2 linked regions of the Stegostoma tigrinum genome follow. The protein of the gene in region 2 interacts with the protein of the main gene of each other region in a pairwise test. Links are inferred from orthologs where the notes say so. Each region holds a gene or a part of one and is shown on either strand. Other genes may lie near its edges.

Region 1 (7,380 bases), on a different chromosome or scaffold from region 2:
CATGAATGGTGATAGAAAACTAAACATCTAACAGGAGGAAGAAGCTCCACAATGGCCCCATTCTCAATAATTGGGGACCCGGCACAATAATGTAAAAGATGTAGCTGAAGTATTTTCATCCACCATGAGCCAAATGTGCTGAGTGAATGATTCATCTCAGCCACCTATTATGATCTCCAGCATTACAAATGCCAGTTTTCAGCTAATTTAAGTTATTTCACATGATATCAAGAAATGGCTAAAGGCATTGGATACTGAAAAGATTATGGGCCATGTCCACATTCCAGCAACAGTACATAAGACTTACAACAGTAACATCTACTCTACTCAGTGATCTACTCTAAATCATCAAACTGGTGGAAAGAGTCATTGGTAGTGTTGTCAAGTGGTATTTGATCAGCAAAATTCATACATTCAGGGCCACTCAGATCTTGACCTTATTTGGGCCAAGACTATAACTTGAACAACCCAACTGAATGCCAGAGATGAGGTGACAATGAATGGCTTTGAACCATGGTAACATTTGACAAGAATATAGCATCAAGGAGCCCTAGCAAAGCTGAACTGAATGGGAATCAGGGGAAAGCCTCTCCAATAGTTGAGTCATACCTGGCACAAAGGAAGATAAAGTCAGAAGTCACATGACACCAGGTAATAGTCCAACAGGTTTCAGGATTATCACCTGTCATGTGACTTCTGACTTTGTCCACCCAGTCCAACACGAGCACCTCCACATCATGGTGACCAAGAGTGTTACACAATGTGAGCAAAGTGTCAACAACTGAATAACAATTGAAGCTATGACCTATAATCTGATTACTCATTTAGCCTGTCTCCAGCATCACCTTTTTTTTTGTTTCTTGTAATTATTTCTCTGCCTCACTTAATCAGATTATAGGTCCTTCACTTGTTATTCGGCTGTTGATACTTTACTCACAGCTGCAGCGACCTAATATTCCTTACTCCACTCACACCAGTTGCATGGACTTTTGATCTCTCTACCTGTAAATTCTGTGTCTGTGTGTTCTTCTTGCTCACTTGACCTGATGAAAGTGCTGTGCTCTGGAAGCTTGTGATCTCAAATGAACCTGTTGGACTATAACCTGGTGCTGTGTGACATCTGACTTTGTCCAGCCTAGTCCAACACCAGCACCTACCAACAAAGGAAGATGGTTGTAGTCTCTGGAGTTCAATCTTCGTCCCAGAGCAGGCTCCTCATGGGAGCATCCTAGGCCCAATTTTCTTTATATGTTTCATCAACGACTTTCTCTCCAACATATGGTCAAAGTGAGGATATTTATCGATGATAGCAAAATATTCTGCACCATTCACAACTCCTCACACATGCAGTGCAAGTCCGTATGCAGCTAGACCTGGGCAACATCCATGCTTGGAGTGCTAAGCAGCAAGTAACATTTACTCCTACCTCTCTGATGAAGGGTCTAGGCCCGAAATGTCAGCTTTTGTGCTCCTGAGATGCTGCTTGGCCTGCTGCGTTCATCCAGCTTCACACTTTGTTATCAGTAACATTTACTGCACACCATTGTCATTGCTTGACAATCTCTTTTAAAAAAGAATGTAACCATGATCCCTTGACATTCAATGGCATTACCATTGAAACATCCCCACTATCAACTGGTTGTTAGCATTGCTCAGAAGCAGGGACATAAATACTGTGGTTTCAAGAGCAGGACGAGACCGAGGAATTCTATAGTGAATAACTGATCTCGTCTCCCCAAAGTGGTCAAGATGCTCAACATCTCCAGGACAAAACAGGCCACTTGATTGTCATCTCATTCGTCATTCTTCAACACTGAAGCATAGTGACAGCGGCACAGCATGTACCATCGACAAGACGTACAGCAGCAACTCACTCAAACTCCTTCATCAATGCCTTTCTAAACTTTGGCTCTATTGCACTGAAGGACAATGGCAGATGATGTGTGGGAACAGGCCACCTGCAAGTTACTCGCCAAGCCACTCATCATTCTAGGAGATAATGGGAACTGCAGATGCTGGAGAATTCCAAGATAATAAAAGGTGAGGCTGGATGAACACAGCAGGTCGAGCAGCATCTCAGGAGCACAAAAGCTGACGTTTCAGGCCTAGACCCTTCATCAGAGAGGGGGATGGGGTGAGGGTTCTGGAATAAATAGGGAGAGAGGGGGAGGCGGACCGAAGATGGAGAGTAAAGAAGATAGGTGGAGAGAGTATAGGTGGGGAGGTAGGGAGGGGATAGGTCAGTCCAGGGAAGATGGACAGGTCAAGGAGGTGGGATGAGGTTAGTAGGTAGATGGGGGTGCGGCTTGGGGTGGGAGGAAGGGATGGGTGAGGGGAAGAACAGGTTAGGGAGGCAGAGACAGGTTGGACTGGTTTTGGGATGCAGTGGGTGGAGGGGAAGAGCTGGGCTGGTTGTGTGGTGCAGTGGGGGGAGGGGACGAACTGGGCTGGTTTAGGGATGCAGTGGGGGAAGGGGAGATTTTGAAACTGGTGAAGTCCACATTGATACCATTAGGCCGCAGGGTTCCCAGGCGGAATATGAGTTGCTGTTCCTGCAGCCTTCGGGTGGCATCATTGTGGCACTGCAGGAGGCCCATGATGGACATGTCATCTAAAGAATGGGAGGGGGAGTGGAAATGGTTTGCGACTGGGAGGTGCAGTTGTTTGTTGCGAACTGAGGGGAGGTGTTCTGCAAAGCAGTTTCCAAGCCTCCGCTTGGTTTCCCCAATGTCGAGGAAGCCACACTGGGTACAGTGGATGCAGTATACCACATTGGCAGATGTGCAGGTGAACCTCTGCTTAATGTGGAATGTCATCTTGGGGCCTGGGATAGGGGTGAGGGAGGAGGTGTGGGGGCAAGTGTAGCATTTCCTGTGGTTGCAGGGGAAGGTGCCGGGTGTGGTGGGGTTGGAGGGCAGTGTGGAGCGAACAAGGGAGTCACGGAGAGAGGGGTCTCTCCGGAAAGCAGACGGGGGGGAGATGGAAAAATGTCTTGGGTGGTGGGGTCGGATTGTTGCTATTCCTTCAATATCATTGGACCAAAATCTCAAGTGATAACGGGAACTGCAGAATCCAAGATAATAAAGTGTGAAGCTGGATGAACACAGCAGGCCAAGCAGCATCTCAGGAGCACATCCTCTGATGAAGGGTCTAGGCCCAAAATGTCAGCTTTTGTGCTCCTGAGATGCTGCTTGGCCTGCTGTGTTCATCCAGCTTCACATTTTATTATCTTGGACCAAAATCTCAAAACTGCCTTCTTGACAACAACAGGTTAAGACAGCATCTCATCACCACCTGCTGAAGAACAATTAGAGATTGGCAATAAATGCTGGTCTAGCCAGCGAAGCCAACAGCATTTTACTGAGCACTTAGCAATCACACAATAAAAAGTGTCCCTTTAAATTGCAGTGGCCTGCATGTAAGACATCTCGAACCAAACATAATTAGTTTGCAAGCAAACTGAACCAGTCAAAACTAAACTGTGACCATACATTCTTTGCCCAGCCAGTCACTACTTAACTGCTCAGACATTGCATCCCTCTCCACCCATGATATCAGGTGCTATTGCCTAAAATTAACTTTTTCAGATATTGATTTCACTTGCATCATTTAGCCCACCAAATCACGTAGTTAACAAAGAAGGCAGCTGAATCACAACACCAATATTCTGTAGAGATTAGAAATTTGAGCTCTTGTAGCACTGCAGCGGTGTTCCTACTCCCAAATGTTATGTGTCGTAACACCTCTGAACAGGTTGATTTGAAAATACCTAGCAATTAGATGCTTTGGTCTCAGTTGCACTGAACAGGCATTACGTTCACACAGAATTCTCACATGCGGAAGCAAGCCATTCAACGTAGCGAGTTCACACCGGCCCGCCCTATATTCAATAACAATTAATTAGAGTTCAGTCACCCTTGCTCCAAACCCACCATTCAACTATCCATCCCAAACTTTTAAACCCCGGAATTATGTCTTTTTTTTCCCTCCTCTTCGATTCCCTTGTCTCGCATTTCTGCTTTTTCTATGCCCTTTCCTTCGTTATTCTTGCTCTCTCCTCTCCCCATTGATGTTGCCGGATATATTCTGCCTGACCTACAAAATGTTCCTAGCACTTGTTTTGGTTTTAACTCAGCACTCATAACATTTTGCTCATTTCCCTGCTCAGCGAGCAACAACACGAACAGACGCACACGCAAGCTGACAGGGGAACGGAGGAGACCGCCGGTACCGCGCAGCCGCACGCATGCTAGGTAGGCTGGGGAGGAGGGAAGATGCCGGTAGCGCGCAGACGCATACGGAGGGGAATGAGGGTTGGTTATGGGGCTGTGTGCTGGAAGAGAGAAGCCGGTACCGCGCAGTCGTACAGGAAAGGTGTGGGTGAGGGAAAGTCTCTCGGACCGCGCAGTCGTACAGGAAAGGTGTGGGTGAGGGAAAGTCTCTCGGACCGCGCAGCCGTGGAGAAAGGTGGGGATAGGATGAAGAAGAAACAGTTGCTATTGCGCAGCTGCAGCAGGCAGACGGAGGGGATGGTGAAATGAGCGAGAAGAAACAGTCGCTGTTGCGCAGCCGTGGTGGCTTGGTGCAAGTGTTCAAGCAGAGAGGTAAACGGTGAAAACAGGTGGAGGAAAGTTGAGCTGGGTTGGGTCGAAAGATACGGCGTCTGAGGTGAACGGAGGAGGAGGGAAGGTGGAAAATAAAAACCCATCGAGTCACCGACAGTGGACTTTTTCTTGTCGGTTTGAGGTGAAAGCTTATTGTTTGGCAGGCGTCAGGTGAGAAAATAGTTGTGACGTTAAATGAAACCTTATGTTTCTACCTGAGGAGTCCTGGGCAGTATCTGCCGGGACCCTGTAAATACAACTCTCTCTCCTTCCTCCTGCATCCAGGACGCTCCGCAAGACCAACGGTTTTAACGGCTCGACATTTCATTATTTTCCACTTGAGTTCATGAAAGGGGAAGTGGCGGGTTCTGATTTTTTTTTGTGTGAATGGACCGAGTTGCCGGCCGCCGGCAGTTGGACCTTGTTGATTCACCCCTTTAAGGAGAAGGAAGGCTTTACCTCCGAGCCCTCCCGGCCTAGTTACAGCGGTGAAACCCGCACTGCTGCATGTCTCTGCGGATGGAGACTCGTCTATAATCGTGCATCAGGTTGAACGATCGTTTTGTTTTTAAATGTATAAAATCCAGACACTTCTTCTCCGGGGCTGTTCTCTGCACCCACAATTTGATGATATTAGACACTGATGAGATAAGATAATGCAGTTAATCCTGCAACGGGTTTGCAGTTAAACGCGAAAGAGAATTCTGGGGTTTTCCGAATCTTATCATACATTGAGTTACTTGAGTGATTTAAACATCGTTTTCTTTATTGTATATATTTTATAATTAAAGCGAATTCCGCTTACTTCTCTGTAAAAACATTAACCAACTGCGGTAATTTTATAGGCAGTCACCATTCTCATGTTAGCGCGAAATGAGTATAGCATGAACAGTATGTAGTTATTTTGTGCAGCTGACAAGACACGTTGGACTTTAGGTTTCTGGTTCATCTACAACATGTTCGTTGCCGAATTGTTCGGATGATCAGATCGAAAATTGCAGTCCTGCGTTCGCTCCCATACAGTGCAGTTGTAGTTCATTACGTGTCCTTGTATGCCCCGAGGAATCCCTGGTGGCGAGTTTTATAACATTATTTTGCTGACAAGCCATCAGGCTTCCTGAAGCTACTCAGTATTGTATGCTATCGTCATCATCCTTTATCACAATAATCCTGTTTATTGCCATTTTTTAACTCGTGATGGATGTGTTAGAATAAGTATGTAATCGGATTTTCATCTGACGATAATGAAAAGAAAGCTTAAGTGATGTATGTGAACACTGAATATTGTAAAGCCTTTTGTCTTTGTATGCAATAGGTATGTCTATACATAAAATTGTGGAAATAATATATGCTACTATGTATCAGATTAGTGTAGAAATTATCTAGCAGGTTTGGAAAATGGTATTTTGGCTTATTCCAGTGGTGCCAATAGCAGTGATGAGATTATCGCAATTTCAAAGTCAGCTGTTTTACATTTAAAACTGAGTAGAGGAGTCATTTAATCTGCGGGTCGTTTTGCTGTCTTGGGGGGGGGGGGAAAGATTCTTAAAACAGGGTTTTCATCTTTTCAATGCTGAGTTAGATGAACGTTTGACTTGTTAGGAGACTGTAAAATTCTGGGGGCAGGCAGAAAATTGGAGTTGAAGCCCTGATTCGATCAACTGTGATCTTGCGTTCCATTCAATTCAAACCATAGCATTAAAATTGTGCTGCCTGGTTCTAGAAAACATTTTCAGGATCTGCCCCATAAAGCGCAAAAATGTTTTAGTTGGGTATACTCTTACTCTTAATACCAATTGGTATATCTCGCTAAATATTTTCTCTCCGCAACTCCATTGTGCCATGAAGCAGCATAGTAAATTTTTCTGAGCTGACTTCAATGCAAGTACAAAACTAAGACCAAAACTGTACAGGATAATCCAAGAGTCTTGCTAATGTACAGTTATAGTAAGATTTCCTTATGTTTACACTGCAGTCTCCGTTCTTAGTAATAAAGGTAAATGTTCCATTGCCTTCCTACTGGGAAATGTACAAAGCTACTACCTTTCAAGCTGTAAGATATATATTACTGACATGGAAATTTAAATATTGTTCTTCTTTGTAGTTGTTCAAAAATATTTTTATAATGTCATTGTTCAAAATTGTCTTCATCCTATGTTGGAACAGCTGGTGTGAGACATGTTTAAAATATTACCAAGTCTGTCACTGTTTTACAAACATGTCTGAAAAGGGGCAGCTATAACTTTGAGGAAAAATACAACTTCTCCCTTTTGGATGATTTTAATCGATTGTCTTTTGAATTATATTGGCAGTGTATCTTATTCTACTAACTACTTTTTGGTTAGTAACTTGATTACTACAACAGAGAGAGAGAGAGAGAGAGACCAAGCCATGGACTCAACCCTTTGGTATCAGTGTATTATCAGCGGGCTTGTTTTACCGTTAGACTTAACTATGACAGTGTTCTCCTGATTAATCTCCCATCTTTAACTTTTTATGTCTAAAACATAAGCTTGCCTGAAATTTTGCACCTGGTCTTGTATTTCAATTTCAACATTCTTGTCTGTTTTCAGAGTTTTCTATTTGTCTCTCCTCTTCCTTTGTTCCTTTCCTTTACTGTCATGTCTCTGAATTACTCTAGTTTTGTCTTTTTGACATCTTTGATTGCTGTACTATTGACTTCCTTAGTCCAATGCTCTGGTATATAGTCCCTGTGCACTCCGTTCTTCTGTCCCTTCATCTTTAAAGCATTCCTTTTAAAACTGATATCCTTGAC
Region 2 (7,093 bases):
CCTGCTGAGATTGAAAGCAATTTTTAATGAAGAAAGCTGCAAGCAGATCACAGATTTTTTTTTTGAAAAGCTAACAAAATAATATTATTGATAGTTTTGGATTATGATGGGAGAGGTCCTCAAAAGGTATGTAAAACATTGAGCATACAATTGGGGGAGGTGATGGCCTAGTGGTATTGTTGCTGGACCGTTAATCCAGAGACCCAGATAATGTTCTGGGGACCTGGTTCGAACCTGCCACAGCAGATAGTGGAATTTGAATTCGATAAATATCCAGAATTAAGACTCTAATGATGATCGCGAATCCACTGCCGATTGTTGGGAAAAACCCATCTGGTTCAATGATGTCCTTTAGGGAAGGAAATCTGCCATCCTTACCTGGTCTGGCCTACATGTGACTCCAGACCCACAGCAATGTGGTTGACTCTTAACTGCCCTCTGGGCAATTAGGGACGGGCAATAAATGCTGCCTGGCCAGTGACACCCTCATCCCGTGAATGATTAAAGGAATTACCTATAACTAAAATCCGTCTTTTAAAAGCAGACAGCATCAACTATCTTTTCAAAATCCAAAAAGATAGTATCCACCATCTCACTTTCAATCAACAAACCATAAAGAAATAGCAACAGAGGTAGACCATTCAGCCCCTTGAACCTGCTTTGCCATTCAATAGGATCATGGCTGATTTGACATACATCACGCCCATTTTCCTGCCCTTCCCCACAATCCTTGATTCCCCTACTGATCAAGAATCCATCTAACAATCCATCACAGCTTAAGTATTCTCAAGGACTCTGCACAAGCCACAAACTACTTATTGTGTTTCAATGCTGGCTGGCTTTCTTTTGCACTCCTTTGAAAAACATCAACATCAGCAGCTCACAATACAGCTCTGAGTAGCATCCCAAGGCAATTAAATTTAAACATTAATACCATTTGTCAACATATTCAGCTTTTAGTGTTATTCCCTCTTAAAATCAACCTTGGAATTTATCCAGTGCTGTTTTCCCCCAAAAATTAACCACTTCATACAATTTGCAAACAAAAACATTTTGCTCGATATTACAGAATTTGCTATTCAACGTGTCCCAATACAGAACTTTGCACGGCAGACAGTGATAATAATATTGTTGGACAAAAAGGCACATTTCGTCAAAGCTGCTCATCAGGCGTGTATTGTGTCAGAGTTGGTTATCTCAGTTGGCTGCTCATGATTCAGAGTGATGCCAACATTGTGGGTTCAATTCCTAGCACCAGCTGAGTGGCCTTCTCAACTCCTCCCCTCACCTGAGGTGTGGTGACCCTCAGGTTAAATCACCACCTAATCCCTCTCCCTAATGGAAGGTAGGACTATGGCAACTTTATCTTACATTTCTTGTCTATTCTGCTGATGAGTGCGAGACAAAAAAACTTTGACAAACGTGTCTTATTTACCAGCCATACTCAAATACTATAGAACCAAACGGCTGATTGTAATGGTTGGAAATATTTATAATGTTTCCCATGTCATCTGTGCATCCAGAGAACAAATGAGTTGCTTTAACCCCATGCCTAGGAGATAAACTCTTCCACACTTGAGATAATTTAATCCATAAGTGGGACAGTGACACCATTATTCTGTCAAAATGTGCGTTATCATTCAGAAGAAGTTTCTGGTGACAAGTAGACTAATTTTCCTGCTGGGAGTGATAAAAGCTCCCACTGTCAAAAGATGTGCAGGTTAGGATGGACTGGCCATGCTAAATTGCCCATCGTGTCCAGGGATACGCAGGCTAGATGGACTAGCCTTGGGAAATGCAGAGTCACAGGGATAAGGCAGAGGGGTGGGTTTGGGCGGAATGCTATTTGAAGAGTCGGCTTGGGCTCATCTGCTTCCGTACTGTAGGGATTTTAAAATTGCTGCATGTTAGGAAGGTAATTCAACACATCAGCTTTACCCTGGAGGAAATATTTTTAAATTTTGTGATTATGCTTGAAGTTCATCCATCAGACCATGTATAGAAGCTGGTTTTGTTATGCAAAACGTCAGAAGTCACAGAGATATTAGGAGTTGCTGGACCTGATTACTGAATTAGCCTGACGGTCAGAGGTTTAAATGCTTTGGCATTTGCTAGGCTTCATTCTATTATCAAAAACCTTTAACACTTTTACTGAGGATTATTAAATTGCATTGCGCAGAGGATTAAACTCCACCCATCTCAATAAGTCACTGGGATTCCACAATACAGATGAAAACAGGTCAGAAAATTGTGTAATAAACTAAAATAGAAGTTCAAAATAAGCAATGTGTGATCAGTCCGTGTGAGCAATATTTCATCTACAGTATACTGACTGGGCTGCAGATTGATAGTCTAAAGTATTCATGTCAAACAAATACATTGCAAAGTCCTTTTAACAGTTCATATTGGAGATTAAAACAATGTGGACAGATGTTTAAATCTCAGCATCAGAACCTTTCACGTTGTTCATTCCTGCTTTAATCAGACTTCTTAGAGTTACCTCAGCTGACACACCCTCCCCTCCTGAACTTGAAAGCAGCTTTTAATTAAGAAAGCCACAAGCAGATCACAGATTGTTTTTTGAAAAAAAGAAGAAACTTATTGATTGTTTTTGGATTATATGGGAGAGGTCCTCAAAAGGCATGCAAAACATAGAACATATAGTTACCCATAAATAAAATGCGCTTTTCTTTTAAAAAAAGGCACAAGTATAAATATATACGACAACACTTACTTGGTTTTGGGGGGAGTTACATTCTTGGGTTTCTTTTTAAACATCTTGGCAGTCCCTGGTTTCACGAGGAAACGATAAAAATCCTTATCCCCCACAGACGCAGTTTTATTCTCTCTCTCTCTCTAACCCTCGCTCCCTTTCTCTGAAGAGTTGATAAAGAGAGAGCTCTGACTTCTTTGCTCCAGTAACACTACAGAGAGTGTGTCAAGTGTGTGTATGTGTGAGGGAGATACACACCGAGCTGCTGAGCTCACCTATAACCTCCTCCTCTGCCTCTCCCACACTATTTACCTGAGACTTCCAGCAGCTGATTGACAGGTGCAGCCACGCAACACCCGCCCACCGTATCGACACCGCCCCCTCTGCATTCCCATTGGCCGCCCTTCTATGGTTGCACGGCAACCCCGCCTTGATTGGCAGACAATGACCACGCCCCTCAGCCCTCCAGTTGCTTTTGGTGGCTGGCTTGGCACCTCCCAGCTCTTACCTGGCCCCCAGGTAAATTCTGAAGAAGATCATTGGGCTTGAAGTGTAACTTCTGATTTCTCTCCACAGATGCTGCCAGATCTGATGAGCTTTACCAGCACTTTCTGTTTTTGTTTCTGATTTCCATTATCCACATTACTTTTTCTTGGCATCTACTGTGAAGAGTGTATCTGGGACAATGGAGTATACTCCCTTTAAATATTGAACACAGTTCCTATCTGCTTAACTTTAAATGATGTTGTTAGGACTGGAGGGCTTCAGCTATAGGGAGAGGCTGAATAGGCTGGGGCATTCTTCCCTGGAACGTCGGAGGATGAGGGGTAAGCTTGTGGAGGTTTATTAAATCATGAGGGAATAGCCAAGGTCTTTAAATAATAAAGTGTAGAGCTGGATGAACACAGCAGGCCAAGCAGCATCTCAGGAGCACAAAAGCTGACGTTTCGGGCCTAAACTCTTCATCAGAGAGCTCTGATGAAGGGTCAAGGCCCAAAACGTCAGCTTTTGTGCTCCTGAGATGCTGCTTGGCCTGCTGTGTTCATCCAGCTTCACACTTTATTATCTTGGATTCTCCAGCATCCGCAGTTCCCATTATCTCTGAGCCGAGGTCTTTATCCGAGTGTGGGGGAGTCCAATGCCAGAGGGCATACGTTAAAAGTGACAGGGGAAGGATTTAAAAGGGACCTGAGAAGTACCTTTTTCACACAGAGGGTGGTGCATGTGTGGAGCGAGCTGCCAAAAGGTCGTGGTGGAGGTGGGTACATTTGTAATATTTAAAAGGCATCTAGATGGGTACATGAATAGGAAGGGGTTAGAGGGGCGCGGGCCAAATGCTGTCAAATGGAACTAGGTCAAGTTGATATGTCTGGTCAATGCGGGCGAATTAGACTAAAGAATCCATTTCCATGACTCTATAGCTTGAAAAGACTGGGTAGGTAAAAACAAGCTATTTCCACTCGCTGAAGATTCTAGAAATAAGGAATTAGTCTGAAAATTAGGGTCAGACCTTTTAGGAAAGATACTGGGAAGTACTTCTACAAGAAAGTGTCGCAAATATTTGGAACTCCCTTCCACAAATATTGGAGGCTGGATCAATTGTTAATTTTAAGCCTGAGATAGGTAAATTTTTTGTGAAGCAAAGGTATTTAAGGGATATATGCCAAAGGCAAGTAAATGGAGTTAGGCCACAGATCAGCCATGATCTATGTGAGTGGCCGAGGAGGGTCTAGGGGCTGAATGGCCGACTCCTGTTCCTATGTTTTTCTAAGTGAACTGGGCAGCAGGGTGGCTCAGTGGTTAGCACTGCAGCCTCACAGCGCCAGGGACCCAGGTTCGATTCCAGCCTCGGGTGACTGTCTGTGTGGAGTTTGCACATTCTCCCCATGTCTGCGTGGGTTTCCTCCGGGTGCTCCGGTTTCCTCCCACAGTCCAAAAGATGTGCAGGCTAGGTGGATCGGCCATGCTAAATTGCCCATAGTGTTCAGGGGTGTGTGGGTTATAGGGGGATGGGTCTGGGTGGGATGTTGCATGGGGCAGTGTTGGCTTGTTGGGCCGAAGGGCCTGTTTCCACGCCGTAGGGAATCTAATCTAAAAGAAGCAAGGGTGAGGCAAAGGAACATATTTTCAGTCAATGAGTAGTTGGTGGAGGACACCTGGAAATGTGGTGGAGGCAGGTTCAATTGTTACAGCTTTATAAAAATTTGGCTAAGCCTTGGTTAGAGTATTGTGTTCAATTCTGATTGCCACATTACAGGAAAGACGTGGGGGCTTTGGACAGGGTGCAGGAGAGGTTTACCAGGACGCTACTTGGATTAGAGGCTATGATCTAACAAGAGGCTAGAAAGAACTCAGGTAACTTTCTCTGCAGCAGCAGAGGCTGACGGGAGAACTGATAGAAGTTTATAAAATTACGAGATGGATAGATAAGGTTCACAGTTAGAATCTTTCTCGCAAAGTTGAAATGTCTAATGCAGGGGGGCAGGGTGAGAGGAGACAAGTTCAAAGGAGATGGGAGGGGCAAGTTTTTTTTACACAGAGAGTGGTAGGAGCCTGGAATGCTCTGCCAGGATTGGTAGAGGCAGATATGATAGGGATGTTTAAGGGATTTTTAGATAAACACATGAATATGCAAGAAATGGAGGGAAATGGACCAAGGGCAGGCAGAAGGGATTAATTTATTTTAGGTGACACATTCGGCACAAATTTATGGGACAAAGGGCTGGTTCCTGTGTTGTAATGTTCTATCTTCTAATTGAGGCATTCAAGGGGGCATTGAATAATTATTTGTACAATATTAACATGCAAGAGTACAGGGGAAAAAGCAGGAAATTGGCATGAGGTAATGATGTTCATTTAATGAGCTTGCGTAGGCACAATGGGCTGAATGGTTTCCTTCCAGACCGTAACACTTCTGACTCTGTGAAAGGGGTCTCCCATTTAAGACCATAATGAGAAAGGAAATTTTCTCTCCAAGGTTCATTAATCTCTGGAATTCTCTACTCCCGAGAGCCATAGACTATTAAATGTACATCTATGTTAGATAGATTTTTTTGATCTACAACGAGCCAAGGTAATGGAGAGCACATAGGAAGTGAAGTTAAGGCCTCAGCTATGTCCACCATGATTTTATTGAACAGCAGAGCAGGATGGAGGGTTAAAATGGACAACCCTTAGCCCTATTTTGTACCTTTTATGTCGTAGATGTCCTAACAGCCTGTAATATATGACTGCTTTCAATAAACTGAAGTCTAGGACAAAGCAGCCCACTGGATTGGCACCACATCCACAAGCACCCATTCCCTCCACCACCGACACTCAGTAGCAGCAGTGTGTACTATATCCAAGATGCACTGCAGAAACTCACCAAAGATCCTCAGATAGCACCTTCCAAACCCACGACCACTTCCATCTAGAAGGACAAGGGCATCAGATACATGAGAACACCACCACCTCCAAGTTTCCCTCCAAGCCACTCACCATCCTGATTTGGAAATATATCACCGTTCCTTCACTGATGCTGTGCCAAAATCCTGGAATTCTGTCCCTAATGGCATTTTGGGTCAACCTACAGAGAAGGACTACAGCGATTCAAGAAGGCAGATCACCACCACCTTCTCAAGGGGCAACTAGGGATGGGGAAGAAATGCTGACCCAGCTGGTGATGCCCACATTCCAGAAAAGAATAGAAAAAAAATTCCTACACAACGCCTTAGTAATCAAAACTTCTCAAAACCCTTCACTCAATCATCCCAAGCAGTAGTTCCTTCAGTTATGTAGACAAAACTTGAAGCCATTCTGAAAGCAAAGTCTAACAATGCAACATTCCCTCCATTGACAAACACCTGGCACTACCACCCCCCTGACATGGCTCACCTCAATCCCTACTTCAGCCCAACTGCTACTGAAACTTTTCCACATTTTCTTCAGATCTCCAGGCAGAGGTATTCCGATTCTCTCTCTGTCACCTCGTCAGCTTCCATCCTCCATGAATTGGTTCCCTTCCTGACAGGGAGGAGCTGTTCCCATTGGTGGAGGATCGAGAACCAAAAGACTGCTCCTGGCCTACATCACTCCAAACCTTTCCTATTCATGTACTTATCCAAATGTCTTTCAAACTTTGTAATTGTACCCACATTCACCACTTCCTCAGGAACTGCATTCCATGTGCAAACCGTAGTCTGTGTAAAAAAAATTGCACCTCATTTCTTTCTCAAATCTCTCTCCTCTTACCTTAAAAATGTGCCCCTCGTCTTGAAGTTCCCCCATCCTAGGAAAAAGACAGCTACCATCAACTGTATCCATACCCTTGTTATTTTATAAGGCCTCCTCTCAACCTCCCACACTCCAGCGACAAAAGTCCCAGCCTACCCAGCCTTT

What was found. The genes of interacting proteins can lie anywhere in the genome.
Region 1: the proteins of ppl (region 2) and rab3ip interact in binary tests that used the Homo sapiens proteins (3 or more experiments, as listed by UniProt). The two-hybrid records come from large-scale screens. The link is inferred for Stegostoma tigrinum from reciprocal best matches to the Homo sapiens genes PPL and RAB3IP.

What each region holds. Positions count from the first base shown.
Region 1 is NC_081371.1:45,501,371-45,508,750, reverse strand, and holds the start of rab3ip (rab-3A-interacting protein), read left to right. Parts: upstream 1-4,373; 5' UTR 4,374-4,604; exon of another isoform or gene 4,605-4,775; intron 4,776-5,034; exon of another isoform or gene 5,035-5,152; intron 5,153-7,380. UniProt on the Homo sapiens protein: Guanine nucleotide exchange factor (GEF) which may activate RAB8A and RAB8B. Promotes the exchange of GDP to GTP, converting inactive GDP-bound Rab proteins into their active GTP-bound form.
Region 2 is NC_081376.1:46,890,658-46,897,750, reverse strand, and holds the start of ppl (periplakin), read right to left. Parts: upstream 3,005-7,093; 5' UTR 2,779-3,004; coding exon 2,735-2,778; intron 1-2,734. UniProt on the Homo sapiens protein: Component of the cornified envelope of keratinocytes. May link the cornified envelope to desmosomes and intermediate filaments. May act as a localization signal in PKB/AKT-mediated signaling.